2 linked regions of the Pelodiscus sinensis genome follow. The protein of the gene in region 1 interacts with the protein of each later gene in a pairwise test. Links are inferred from orthologs where the notes say so. Each region holds a gene or a part of one and is shown on either strand. Other genes may lie near its edges.

Region 1 (7,171 bases):
TGACAGCATTTCAGGAAATGTGTCACATTTGCCCTGGTACATCCTTCAATTAGCGAGCAACACAAAGCATCCATGTAGGCACCCGTAGGAGCTGTGACCCAGCTAACAAGCCCAAGCAGAAGCACCAGTATCATCCCCTCCAGCAGTTGCCCTTTTCAGACCCTGCCTCCCAGCAGGCGCCACCCACAGAAAAAAGGCTTCAGGCCATCAACACCTGCCTTAACAGGAGCTTGCCAGTAAAAAGGTGAGGGCAAGATGGGACCTGGAACGCTTCAGCTGCCCCCAAACCCAGGGAGTAGTAAGTGATGCCCCCCCACTCTCAACAGGTGCCATAGAGGAACTGCCCCTTTAGAACCATCCCCCTCCTCACAGTCTTTCCAGCGGAGGCCACAGCGCCTTACATAACTCATGAGTGCTCCCCCCCCACTTTTCCCACCCTGGAGCTATGGTTCTGTGGTGCACTCAGCCCCAGACGGCTGGGGAAAGAACCAGTCTGCTGTACCCAGTGCAACAGGCATCCCTGCCTTTCACCGGTGCCGCATTACCCACCCCTCACACCCATATCGCAACAGGGCCGTCCCTTGACCCGGGCTAGCCAAGGAGACAGAAGCTCTCTGGCAGGCCCACCGCCTCCACACTCATTTCAATTTGGCACTGCCAGGCAGGGACCGACCACAGCCTGACACCTCTGGGCCACAGGCTCGTGGCTCCCAGCCGGAGGCAGGGAAGCAGCGAGAGAAGGGGCCAGTACACTGTGGGGCACATGAACCCACAGAGCCCAGCCCCAGCAGTGGGAGGGCCCCGCTCCCCCCTAGACCTTGGCTGACTGCGAGCTGGGTCCAGCACGACAAGCCCCGCACAGCCCACTAAGGGGGTGTGTGTCACAAGCCGAGTCCAGTTTCCCCACAAATGGTCCCCAGCCAGTGCTCACCTAGCCACCCCCCAGCCTTGGCACCCCCCTCACCGGAAGCCTCTCACCCCCACCTCCCCCCTTCCCCAGCCCCCCTCCCCAGGCCCCTCTCACTCCCCTACCCCCCTTCCCCAGCCCCCATCCTCCCCGGGCCCCTCTCACCCCTGCCCCCCCTCCCCAGGCTCCTCTCACCCCCCGGCCCCTCTCACCCCCCCCAGCCCCCCTCCTCCCCGGGCCCCTCTCACCCTCCTGCCCCCCCTCCCCGGGCCCCTCTCACCCCCCAGCCCCTCCTCCCCCTGCCCCCCCACCCCCCCAGCCCCCCTCCTCCCCGGGCCCCTCTCGCCCCCCCAGCCCCCCTCCTCCCCGGGCCCCTCTCACCCCCCCTGCCCCTCTCACCCCCCCAACCCCCCTCCTCCCCGGGCCCCTCTCACCCTCCTGCCCCCCCTCCCCGGGCCCCTCTCACCCCCCTGCCCCTCCTCCCCCGGGCCCCTCTCACCCCCCCAGCCCCCCTCCTCCCCGGGCCCCTCTCACCCTCCTGCCCCCCCTCCCCGGGCCCCTCTCACCCCCCCAGCCCCCCCTCCTCCCCGGGCCCCTCTCACCCCCCCTGCCCCTCCTCCCCCAGCCCCCCTCCTCCCCGGGCCCCTCTCACCCCCCCAGCCCCCCTCCTCCCTGGGCTCCTCTCACCCCCCCTGCCCCTCTCACCCCCCTGCCCCCCTCCTCCCCGGGCTCCTCTCACCCCCCTGCCCCTCTCACCCCCCCAGCCCCCCTTCCTCCCCGGGCCCCCCTCACCCCCCCAGCCCCCCTCCTCCCCGGGCCCCTCTCACCCCCCCAGCCCCCCTCCTCCCCGGGCCCCTCTCACCCCCCTGCCCCCCTCCTCCCCGGGCCCCTCTCACCCCCCTGCCCCTCTCACCCCCCCAGCCCCCCTTCCTCCCCGGGCCCCTCTCACCCCCTGCCCCCCTCCTCCCCGGGCCCCTCTCACCCCCCTGCCCCTCTCACCCCCCCAGCCCCCCCTCCTCCCCCTGCCCCTCTCACCCCCCCAGCCCCTCTCACCCCCCTCCTCCCCGGGCCCCTCTCACCCCTCCAGCCCCCTCTCACCCCACTGCCCCCCCTTCCCCAACCCCCGCCCCAGCGGCACCTGGCTGGCGCCCCCAGCAGCAGACCCCACGCCCGGGGCCTCTTCCGCGAGCAGCGCCCCCAGCACCCACCTGGCCTGTGGCCTCCGGGATCAGCTGCTGTAGCCCCGCCCCCAGCTCTCATTGGCTCCGCGGCGCGGGGAAGGCCGTCGCTACTGGCTGGCTGCAGCGCCCGTCCCGCCTGGATCGGCCTTTGCCCGGCGCCTTCTTAAAGGGGCCGCGGCGCGGGGCTGGGGGAGGGACCTGCATGGCCATAGAGAAGGACAGCCAGCGGGTCCCAGCATGCACCGCTGCATCCCTGCTCTCAGCATGCACCGCTGCACCCCAACTCTGGGACCTGGTAAGTCCCAGCATGCACCACTGCATCCCTGCTCTCAGCATGCACCGCTGCACCCCAACTCTGGGACCTGCTAAGTCCCAGCATGCACCGCTGCATCCCTGCTCTCAGCATGCACTGCTGCACCCCAACTCTGGGACCTGCTAAGTCCCAGCATGCACCACTGCATCCCTGCTCTCAGCATGCATCTCTGCACCCCAACTCTGGGACCTGCTAAGTCCCAGCATGCACCGCTGCATCCCTGCTCTCAGCATGCACCGCTGCACCCCAACTCTGGGACCTGCTAAGTCCCAGCATGCACCACTGCATCCCTGCTCTCAGCATGCATCTCTGCACCCCAACTCTGGGACCTGCTAAGTCCCAGCATGCACCACTGCATCCCTGCTCTCAGCATGCACCGCTGCACCCCAACTCTGGGACCTGCTAAGTCCCAGCATGCACCGCTGCATCCCTGCTCTCAGCATGCACCGCTGCACCCCAACTCTGGGACCTGCTAAGTCCCAGCATGCACCACTGCATCCCTGCTCTCAGCATGCACTGCTGCACCCCAACTCTGGGACCTGCTAAGTCCCAGCATGCACCACTGCATCCCTGCTCTCAGCATGCACCGCTGCACCCCAACTCTGGGGCATGCCTGGTCCCAGCATGCACTGGTGCATCTCAGCTCTGGGAAGCTCCCAACATTCACCACTACCCCCCGCCAGCCTTGGCAACGTGACAGGCTCCAGCATGTACAGAGCTCTGATCCAAGGTGGCAGCCACCCTACTGGGATGGCAGAGCCCATCAGTGCATGTGCCGCTTGACACGGCAGCCTGGACGCTGTATGTTTAACTGGATAACCAGCCCGTCCTATTGTATTATGAGTGGGGAGCTGCTCCAGCCAGGTGGGGCTGGAGTTCCCCCAACCCATGTTGCACTGTGGTGGGCCTGGCTTGACCACAGCAGTCCCCTGCCAGAAGCATAGCAAAGAGAAGGGGCCATTCTGACTGGGCTGGGGCGGGGGGCGAATAAACAATTACTCATTTACATCCCTATTTAATACTCATTTAACAAACAGAAGAGCAACACAGACATTTGAGATTTTAACAAAATAAGTATCAGAAGGGTAGCCGTGTTAGTCTGAATCTGCAAAAGCGGCAAGGAGTCCTGTGGCACCTTATAGACTAACCGAAGCGTGGGAGCATAAGGTTTCGTGGGCAAAGACCCACTTCGTCATCTGAAGTGGGTCTTTGCCCACGAAACCTTATGCTCCCACGCTTCGGTTAGTCTATAAGGTGCCACAGGACTCCTTGCCTCTTTAACAGAATAAGATCACTGCCCCACCAGGATGTGCTGATTAATTCTTCATTATTCATATCGCTTTCCTGCACACACACAGGTGCAACATTCAGTGTAAGTTTACTGATTTACCTCTAAGTTACATTTCAACCAGGAACTTGCAGTATTTTTTCTATAAGAAAGGAAATGCGAATTTTTCCTACAGCAAAAGTTCACCCATTTGTACAAGGTCACCAGATCATCACCTTGCGATGTTTTTTCCAGGTCACTGGACCACTGGTTAATATTTACTTATGCATCTATACATGGTAATGGTTCGTATGGATATTGTTTATATAAAAAGGCACCTCACTGAACATGGGCAGGACTTCACCTTGCTTTCTCTTCTCTATTATCTGTAGGAGTCATGCACATTTTTTAAATGACACCGTCCATATCAAAAATACGAGGAGACATTTTGAACCTATTAAAAAATCCATTCAAAAGGCCTTGCAAAACTACCTAGAGATCTTGTGATGGGGTGGTACCAACCCTGTACTGGGGCTGCGAGATTTAACCCAGTCTACCTGGCTGAAGAGACCCCACTCCAGCTCTGCTCCAGCTAGAGACCAGGTGTAAGGGCCTGTGGAGCAGCTCAGTCTGGATTGACAGCCCTCAAGGAAGGAGGTGCTGCTGGAGTCCCCAAGGAGGAACCACAGATGGAGCAAGACATGGAGGCCAGCCAGTGGGGAATGCAGGAAAAAGCCTCCAGTCTGGAGAGAAGAGCTGGGGAAGACTGCAATGGAGAGACTGGTAGGAAGTAGCCCATGGAGAGGAGTTTCAGTGGGATTTCTCGCCGAGCTAGTGGTGGACCACTCCACTGCTGACAAGACCCTGGGCTGGGATCTGGTGGAAAGGGTGGGCCTGGGTCTCCCCACCATCCTCAACAGCAGAGCTATACCCCACTGCTATTGACTCTAACGGCTAGGCCACACTGCACTGGGCATTGTTAGAGACGCTGGGCTGGATGTGGTTTGGTCCTGGATACGTCCCGGATGAGCTGCAGTTGTAAGAAGGGGAGGCATAGCACCCTCCTCCTTAAACTGGTATGCACGTGGGGTTGAGCACCATTTGAGGGGTCTCAGAGACATTATGCCCACCCCCTGAAGGGAGATGGGTGTGCTGCCCCGATGACAGATGTATAACTTTTTAAAACTGAAGTTCTTTTTATGATTGTCAGGCCAGTAGCAAAAGAGGATGAAGACTTCTTTCCTTCTTATGGTCTGCTGCAGGGGGGCACTTACTCCCCAAATCACCTATTAAACAGTCTTCTTCCCCTCCCCACCACCACCCCTGAGGTACCTCAGAATTTCACATTTGATTCCAGGCAGGACTCTGACCTTTCCAGCTTTCCCATTCTTTTGTGTGAAACGGATGAAAATGTCTATTACTTTTAGTTCTTGGATTTATAGTATTAAGGGAAAAGAGGGCTAAAGGAGGCCTTGTTTTTTAGAAAATCTGGAAGACAAGTGGAAAAAGGCAGCATTTCAGCTGGTCTGACTCTCTGTGCTGGCAACATGTCTGCTTGTCTGATTTATAAGCAACTTTGAGGATTATTGTAAACTGAGAAAAAAGTGAAGCAATCATTTTCTTGAAAAAGCCTCAACTCTAGTATTTTTCTTCTGAGAAATTACTCTCTGAGACCTGGGGAACTTTTGTCTTGGTGATTTGTGCTGGGAAAGAAGCTTGAAGTTGGACCAGCCTGTGCACTGGACCTTCTACAAAGTAGGAAAGAGCTGCTTTGATTTTAGTCCAGTCTACTAGGCTCATCCTGTACTCTAGTCAGCCAATCTGTCTTTGATTTAGCTATATACATGTATGTTCGACTCCCAGAGAACTTCATAAAGATTTTTCTGCCCATGTTGTTACCCCAGAGCCCTTTTGGTAACATTAATCCTCTTCCCCTACAGGCTTATCCCTGAAGAAATTTATTGCTAGGGGGATGGGAGTGCTTATATTATCCGTATAGCTAAGGGGTCACATGAATTTGAATGGTTACCCACTGGGCCACATGAAAGGGAGCTGTAGGGGCTCCTCTCAGAGTCCCGGAGGGGGAGCTCCCCTTGGAACACTGAGGGCGAGCTGTGAAGGGGCTCCCCTCATACAGACTCCAAGGGGGAGGGAGAACTGTAGGGGTCCCCTTGGAACACTAAGGGGAGCTGTGGAAGGGCTCCTCTATACACTCCCTGAGGGGGAAAGGGAGCAGTAGGAGTCCCCTTGGGTCACAGGGTGAAGGGGAGCTGTGTGGGTTCCCATTGGAGCACTGAGGAGGAACTATGGGGGGCTCCCTTCATACAGTGCTTGAGAGGGAGGGAAAGCTGTGGGGGTCCCCTTGCCCCTTGGAACACTAGGGGGAATTGTGGGGGGCTCCCCTCATACGGATCCTGAGGAGGAGCTGTGGGAGGAGCCCTTGAACACTAAGGGGAGCTGTGGGGGGCTCCCCTCATACAGCCCCTGAGGAGCAGGGGGAGCTGTGGGGGGCTCCTTGAACACTAGGGGGAGGTGTGGGGGGCTCCCCTCATACAGCCCCTGAGGAGCAGGGGGAGCTGTGGGGGGCTCCTTGAACACTAGGGGGAGGTGTGGGGGGCTCCCCCATACAGCCCCTGAGAGGAAGGAGGAGCTGTGGGGGGGCCCTTGAACACTAGGGGGAGCTGTGGGGGGCTCCCCATACAGCCCCTGAGGGGAAGGAGGAGCTGTGAGGGCCCCCTTGACCACTAGGGGGAGCTGTGGGGTCTCCCCCATACAGCCCCTGAGGGGAAGGAGGAGCTGTGGGAGGGGAGTGCCCTTGACCACTAGGGGGCGCTGTGGGGTCTCCCCCATACAGCCCCTGAGTGGGAGGAGCTGTGGGAGGGGAGTGCCCTTGACCACTAGGGGGCGCTGTGGGGTCTCCCCCCTACAGCCCCTGAGGGGAAGGAGGAGCTGTGGGAGGGGAGGGCCCTTGACCACTAGGGGGCGCTGTGGGGTCTCCCCCATACAGCCCCTGAGTGGGAGGAGCTGTGGGAGGGGAGTGCCCTTGACCACTAGGGGGCGCTGTGGGGTCTCCCCCCTACAGCCCCTGAGGGGAAGGAGGAGCTGTGGGAGGGGAGGGCCCTTGACCACTAGGGGGCGCTGTGGGGAGGGGAAGGGATTTCTAGCTGCACCTCACGCACACGTACGTCCTGACGCAAAGGTCACGCCGCGCGCGTGACCCCTCATCCCGGAAGCGAGCCACTAGCCCGAGGCCCCCCACGAGCCGCCGCTGCTCCTGCTCCGCCGCGGCCGGTCCCGCCCCCTCCTGGCCTGGGCGCCGCTTCCGTCATGTGAAGGCGGCGGCCCCGGGGCAGCGGCCCGTCCAGGTGCGCGGCCTCGGGCTGGGGAGTCGGGGGGGGGAGGTTCCCAGGCAATGGGGGGGGGGGCTACGACTCCCAGGGGGGGCTCCAGCCAATGGGGGAGGAGTCATGGGATGTCCCTGTCCTGCACGGGAGGGGCTTTGC
Region 2 (7,833 bases), on another chromosome or scaffold:
GATGGTAGGCCCAAGGTGTCCAAAATGACGACAGCATAGGCACTTTCCACTGCAGGGATCAAGTTGTTAGCAGTGCTGCAGAAGCTTCCTACTGGTGATTCCAGGAACGGTATTGGGAATGGGGGCAAGAACGGGAATGGTACCAGCCGCTGCATGATGCAAAGGACTGCGCTTCCAACTCCAAGGTATACTTGACCATGCTGAACAGTGCTGAGGAGTGGCACCAAAGGGATGGAGAGTGCTGCTGCTGCAGAGTCGGTTTTCCTTGGTACCATATGATAACTGGTGCCGGCTTGAGGCTCCGAGGCTATGGTGCCAGGGTGACTGCTGCATGACGTATGGGGCCAGGGCTGGGGCAGAGCACATTGGCCTATGGTCAGTGCCAGGTTCAGTGCCGAGGCACGGACTGCATCAAAGTCTGTGCTGCAGGCTCCATCATTTCACAAGGTCAGAAAGTGTCCTCAGAAGTGTCCAGTGTATAAGGGAGGTCCAGGTCCTCCTTGTGGACTTCCCACCCAGTGGAGTCCAACAACACTGGACTCAATGGCCCTGCCCTTGGGTCCAGAGTTGGCAATGCTGGCTGCACTGTACTGTCCTGAGATTGCTCCAGGCTGGGGCACACTGACAGAGGGTGACTACTGGTCTTCTTGTCCAGAGACTGGCTTCTGCTAGGCCTTGTCTTCTCATACAGCACCGGAGATGGACAGTGCTGAGGAGCAGAGGAGCTTGTCTTGTGTGCAAGGGAATGGGTGCCAGTGCTCTTTTGGGTCTTCCTTACGAAGTGCCAATGTGTCCCATATTGAAGCTGGTGCACTGTACATGGAGGCCAGCATGCTACACACCAAATATGACAACATCGGGTCCAGCACTGGGGGTCGAACTGCCGTCTCCACTAACAAGAGTTTGAAGTGCTGATCTCACTTTCTCTTAGTTTTAGGCATGAAACTGTGGCAGATATTACACTAGTCTGTTAAGTATTCTTCACCAAAACACCTGAGGCAATGCAATGTGCAGGCAGATCCCTTTTAGGCATAGGCTTGCTACAAGTGATGCAGTTCTTAAACACCCCTGCTGCATACTGGGAAGCGGGGGAGGGAGAGAGGAAAAAGAAACATAAATGAACAAAAAGTGGAAGGGGACCCCCACAGAAACTATAAACCAATGGCAGATGCCCCAGAGGGAGAGAACACAACAGGTAATCATCACATGATCCCTCTCCTGTAAGCCATTTCCAGACAAACAGAGGCAAGGGACACCATTCCTACCCATACTGGCTAATAGCCATTTATGGACCTAACCTCCATGAACTTATCTAGCTCTTTTTTAAACCCCGTTAAAGTCCTAGTCTTCACCACATCCTCTGGCAAGTAGTTCCACAGGTTGACTATGCGCTGCACGAAGAAAAACTTCCTTTTATTTTAAGCCTGCTGCCTATTAATTTCATTTGGTGACCCCTAGTTCTTATATTATGCGAACTAGTTACAGTAAAACTCCATTGGTCCATCATCCAATGCTCCAGTACTCCTGATGGCGCAGCACCATCAGGAACCCGGAAGTGCTGGGGCAGCTGGACAATTGGAGCTGCTCTGCGCCTGGCTTCCCCGATTCAGCCGCTGCTGAAACTGACCAGCAGCTGAATCGGGGAAGCCGGGGGCAGAGCAGCTGGGGTGCTGCTGGGTTGGTCCGGTGGCACCGCCCCTCGGGGCTGTGGGACCAACCTGGCAGCACCCCAGCTGCTCTTGGGGATTCCTGGAGCAGAGCAGCCAGAATGCTGCCAGGTTGGTCCCCCAGTGCTGAGGGGCGGCGCTACAGGACCAACCCGGCAACATCTCAACTGCTCTGCCCCAGGCGCCCCGATTCAGCCACTGCTGGAGTCAGCCGCTGATCAGTTTCAGCAGCGGCTGACTTGGGGACGCCTGGGGCAGAGCAGCTGGGGTGCTGCCAGGTTGGTCCCATAGTGCCAAGGGGAGGTGCTACCGGACCAACCTGGCAGCACCCCAGCTGCTCTGCCGCAGGCGTCCCCAAGAGCAGCTGGGGTGCTGCTGGGTTGGTCTCGCAGCGCCGAGGGGCGGTGCCACCAGAACGATCCAGCAGCACCCCAGCTGCTCTGCCGCAGGCGTCCCCGATTCAGCCGCTGCTGAAACTGACCAGCAACGGCTGAATCGGAGACGCCTGGGGCAAAGCCAGACTATTGGAAGGGGGGCTATGAGGGGTCTGAGGTGGCGTCTCCCCCACTGCACCCCAGTCCCCTCATAGCCCCCCTTCTAATAGTCCGGCATATTTGATAATCCGGCACCCCTTGGGTCCTAAAGGTGCCGTATTATTGGAAGTTTACTGTAATAACTTTTCCCTATTCACTTTTTCCACACCAGACATGATTTTATAGACCTCTATCATATCCTCCTCTTAGTCTCCTCTTTTCTAAGCTGAAAAGTCCAAGTCTTTTTAATCTTTCTTCATACGGAGCCCGTTCCAAACCCCTAATCATTTTTGTTGATAGAGGGCCAGCTTTACAAGCACCATTTTAGGGGGCTCCGCAGCTAGCCCGTTGGGTACCACTATAGAAAAAAAAGCCTTCCAATCATCATGAATGCAGTGTGCACATGCCTATTGAAATGCATGTGAATGATCACTTGAAGAAGAACTGTATCCACTCCATGTAGTGAATCATCACAAACCAACTGCAATGGTAGCAAAGCATCAACATGCAAAAAAACTTCATCTGATGTCATCTTCTTTGCTTGTTAAAGATACATTACTTATTTGTCCCAAATTCTTTTTCAAATCTTTGAAATGCCTGCTTCTCTAGTATTTTTTTTTTAATTCCATGGTGCTTTTTTGATCATCTTCACCTTGATCTCTGTTCACTTTAAGCCAAAATCTGTCACAAAATAGTGGACACTTTTCTTCAAATTCATACAAGGGTTAAACCTCTTATTGTCCATTAAGTTGAACTTTTACCTGGAGTATCCCTTAGAAAAGTTAGTTCCAAGATGGTAAGTCTTCAAAACTATGGAAATTTCTCCCAAAGGAACCCAATGTCTGGTAATAGGTGTATATGGAAATTCAGTGAGATGGCAGCTCCAATATCAAGCTCCATTCTTGTAGGAATTCTCTTCACCAAGGGTGTGACCCAGATTCCCTTTCTGACTCCTGGTAACACATGCAGTAGTAGGGTCTTGGTCATTATCACTAGAGTTCTTATCTTCACATTATGAATTCCTGATTTCATAGGTTCAGTCTTTCCTAGGCTCAGTCTTCTTGGCTGTGTCCAGACTCCATGCCTCCGTCGACGGAGGCATGTAGATTAGCCAGATCGGAAGAGGGAAATGAAGCCGCGATTAAAATAATCGCGGCTTCATTTAAATTTAAATGGCTGCCCCGATCTGCCGATCAGCTGTTTGTCGGCAGATCGGGAGAGTCTGGACGCGATGCCCCGACAAAGAAGCCTTTCTTCATCGACACAGGTAAGCCTCGTGAAACCAGGTTTACCTGTGTCGATGAAGAAAGGCTTCTTTGTCGGGGCATCGCGTCCAGACTCTCCCGATCTGCCGACAAACAGCTGATCGGCAGATCGGGGCAGCCATTTAAATTTAAATGAAGCCGCGATTATTTTAATCGCGGCTTCATTTCCCTCTTCCGATCTGGCTAATCTACATGCCTCCGTCGACGGAGGCATGGAGTCTGGACACAGCCCATAGGTGTATTCTTGGATGTGTAGTTATTTTGTGCTGGTGTTCACTGAACTGTGCAACAGGTCACAGTGATGTATCCTTTCTTCTGGCACTTTTTGCCAATGACCTGGTGTGGCCTGCAATTCTCGTCAGCATGTGTAATTTATGTACAGTGGCCACATGGAAATTCCTTTCATTCCCAATTCAGGAAGTGAACTTCTTAGTGCACACTGATTATCAGACTCCTTTTCCTGGTTTCCATAGCAATAGCCAATTTAGCCTTTTTGAATGTAAGTACTTATACTGGTCATTTCATAATCCAGAGACAAATTGGTCAGACAGGACATCACTTAATTTTTTTTCAAGCTGTCAGTACTCTGACAACTTCCATGGAGCTGTCATAAACTGTGCTACTCACTTTCCACTTCCCTGGTGTTGCCGAAGTAACCAATATCATTCTGCTGTCATCAGTGAGGTAGGCGAGAGATGTTCCTGCATTGCTGCAATAATTGATGCATATGTAACATTTGGGGGAAATGGGTCATGCAGCATCCTGTATGCCTTCAGGCCCATCCCTACCCCACCATAGGCAAAGTTGGCAGCATGTGCGGAGCTGTGTGTGGTGGCCTTACCAATCAAAGGATGGGGTGAGGTAAGGGAGCAGTATGGTGGTTCGAGCCAGGTGTTAGGGTGGCTGTGTATGGTGAGGCAGCTAGGTGCTGTGTGCATTGTGTGTGGTGGGTTGGGGTGGATACAGGAACAGGTGCTGTGGGGGAGCAGCGTGCTGGGTTTGGTGGATGTTGGGAAGAGAGCTGAGTGTGGCGGATTGAGGCGGGTGCTGCAGGGAGGGGGTTGTGCATGATGAGCTGGGTGGATCGTGTGTGTGTGTGTGTGTGTGTGTGTGTGTGTGTGTGTGTGTGTGTGTGTGTGTGTGTGTGTGTGTGTGTGAGATGAGTTAGGGCAGGTGCTGCAGAGGCTGTATGTGATGGGCTGGCAGGGAGGGAGATTGAGGTGGATGTTGCAGGACTGGGAGGTCTGTGGCAGATGCTGGGATAGATGCAGGGGTGCAATGTGAGGATAGTTGGGGTGGGGGCTGAACGTGGTGGACTGGGGCAGCTGAGTGTGGTGGGCTGGGGACTGGAGGGCTGAGCGTGATGCGCTGGGGCCGGTGCTGAGGGGCTGGAGGGGGGTTGGGCTGAGAGTGTTGGGCTGGGCCCGGTGCTGAGGGGCTGGGCACTGGGGAGGGGGGCTGCGTGTGAGGGACGGGGACAGGTGCTGGGGCAGGGGCGGGAGTAAAACCTGCTGGCCCATTGTGACGCGGCGCGGCGGTCACTGTGCTGCGGCGCCGCGGGGCAGGAGCGGGGCAGCGCGGGGCCATGCAGCGGCGGCGGCGGCGAGGGCCGGGGCGGTGTCCAGGGGCCGAGGGCGGCTGGCGCTTGCCCGCGGGCACCTCCCTGGGCGAGCGCGCGTCCACCAGAGGCAGCAGGAAGCGGCCCGCGCCCCGCGGCTGCTCCCCGCGCGCTGAGCCGGGCTGCCCCGCGCCCCGCCTGGAGATGGCTCGGCCGGGCTCGGGCCGCTTCTCGCCGCCGCGCTACCTGGATCCGTACGGCTCGGAGCCGGAGACTGCGGGCGGGGAAGGGGGCTGCAGCCTGGCCCCGGCCCACGGCCTGAGGAAGGGGCAGAGGAGCGAGGTCCCCTCCCAGTCCCGCCGCCCCTCCTCCTGGAAGCGACACGTGCCCCCGGCCGGCGAGGGGTACCCGTCCTCCGTGAGCCCCTCCTGCACCAGTCTCTACCGGGGGGACTGCTGGGAGCACCCCGACAGCCGCCGCTTGGGCCAGGGCAGCCGGCTGCAGGAGGATCAGTGGGCCAGCCCTGTGCAGAAGACCCGGGGGTATGGCCCAGATTTCAACCGTGAGGCCAGCAAGCCCCTCTCCGCCTGCGCCTCCTCGTCCTCCTGCCAGCTGGAGGCGGCCCCCAGCAAGCCCGGGAAGAAGGCGCCCAAGAGCGGGGGATGGCAGGACGCGTCCGAAAGCAGCCCAAGCCTGAGTGACCTGATATACTCCTTTGCCAGACAGGAAGAAGATGAAGACGAAGAGGATACCCAGGCTGAAAACCATTACCACAACCGCAGCGGCCACCATCCATCGAGGTCAAGACGGAGGGAGCCCCAGGTCAGCCTCCACGATCTCACTGATAAGAGATATGAGGACTTAATCCCTAAAAGGGACCGAAAGATCGCAGCTCTGATGCTGGCCAGGCATCGGGATGATCAGGAGCTAAAAGAAAGGCAGCTGCAAACGTCTGAGACCTGGGATAAGATGAGAAGGCGGGAAAAGAAGCTCAAATCAAGACTGGAGAAAGAAAGGCAGCACCATCTTGCTGAAAGCCTGGAAAAGTGGCAAAAGGACAGAGAGCACCGGAAAGCCAGGGTCAGGCTAGAAGACCAACATCTTTTGAAGGCCCGGGAGAAAGAAATGATGTCACAGCAGAAGAAGTGGGAAAAACTAGCCCAAGAGCAAGAAATGATGCGGAAGGAAAAACTTGAAAGAACTAAACTCCAGGCTGAGTACAGAAAATACTGTCAAGAAAAGCAACTGAAAGAGAAAAGGTTAGCTGAGAAAAGTGCTAAGCAGTACAATTATAATCTATTAAAGGAAAAAATGGCACAAGCCTTTGAAAAAAGACTGTTGAAAGAAATGGAAGGGAAGAAAAGGAGTCAAGATCTGAACCAATATGAAAAAAACAGGCACCTGAAAGCAAAAATGGATCACCAAGTCAAAGCTGATGAGCTTTATAAGAGGCTTTCTATAGAACAAAAGCTTCAAAGATCTCAAGAAATCCTTGATCAGCTGATGGAAGAAAGGAACAATGAATTAAAGGAAAAATCTCTAAGGGATGAAGAACAAGGCCTATTGGCCAAGTTTAGAGCAAAAGAGACAGAGGAAGAAAAAAGAAAGCGTAAAAATATGTTGCTGCAGATAGCGGAGATGAAGATTCAGCAAGCTCAAGAAATGATGTCTAAAAATATCCAAGACAAAGCACAACGTAGCAAGGAAAATAACTATTTAAAAGAAATAAAGCACCAGTTTCGAAAACAAAAAGTTGAAGATGATGAAAAATGTCACCTCCGGGAAATTCAGGAAGCCATCAAAAGGAAAGATGAGAAAAGCAATAGGATTTTAAGGGGTAAGGAAGCTGCTGTGGAAGACTCTAGAAAAATAGCAAGAGCATCTTATGACTTGAGAGAAAAAGTGAGAGAACTGATTAATAGTCATTCGTTTGACTAGATGGCTTTAAGAGTCCATACAGAGCGAGTCTTCTTAAAGGGATCTAGAAACACTTACTTAAAAAGAAAAATTGCAAGCATTCTTGTGCTAAAAAGATAGTTTGCATTCTTACTGTGACTTGCTTAGAATTCTGCACTGTATGACACTAAAATGGTTTCACCCTTAAACTTGGTGTGTCTCATAATACACTGATCATTTTCTGTACGATTATGGCCTAAACAATTTGATAGTGTTTATTTAAAGTGAACACTTTTGCAATTGTATTGTTTGTAAAGTAAAAATATCACCTGGAATCTGTGTTCTCTGAAAGCTGTGTGCTTGAGGGTCTGCTCAGAAGAGATTCCTATACTGCCCAGATGATTAGCAGAATGCCCACAGTTAGGTTTTTTGTTTCTACTCCTGGTGTACAATCGAAAAAGCCTTGGTGCAAATAAAAAAATATTCTGCTCATGTTTTGAAAAAATCTGCATATTGATGGAAAAGGTTAGTGGGAACATTATCTGGAACCTATGTTTAATGAATGTAGAACATAGATCTTGCTGAAATCCTAAAAAAGTCACAAAAGTATTAATACTATCTCACTGCAAGCACACAGTGTGGAACAGACTAAGATACCTGTCTTAGTCTACATTTGTAAAGCATCTTACAGTATTAATGCTATATAAATCCATGATAATAAAAACAGATTTACTGATTCTAAGAAGTGAATAATTCAACATCCGCAAATACTTGGGGTTTTTTCTGCCTTCAGTCACTTACTAAATACCCTGATCACACTATATATTCAAATAATGTATGGATGCAGGTATTTTCTGACTAAAAGGGCTTGGATACAGTGGAGTTCTTAGTTGCCACTATTAATCAGAGAGAGA

What was found.
Region 2: the proteins of KXD1 (region 1) and CCDC185 interact in a two-hybrid assay, tested with the Homo sapiens proteins (2 studies listed by BioGRID and IntAct). The two-hybrid records come from large-scale screens. The link is inferred for Pelodiscus sinensis from reciprocal best matches to the Homo sapiens genes KXD1 and CCDC185.

What each region holds. Positions count from the first base shown.
Region 1 is NC_134729.1:19,763,951-19,771,121, reverse strand, and holds the start of KXD1 (kxDL motif-containing protein 1), read left to right. Parts: upstream 1-4,070; 5' UTR 4,071-4,439; coding exon 4,440-4,451; intron 4,452-6,867; exon of another isoform or gene 6,868-7,033; intron 7,034-7,171.
Region 2 is NC_134713.1:87,632,904-87,640,736, reverse strand, and holds CCDC185 (coiled-coil domain-containing protein 185), read left to right. Parts: upstream 1-5,019; 5' UTR 5,020-5,050; coding exon 5,051-6,961; 3' UTR 6,962-7,254; downstream 7,255-7,833.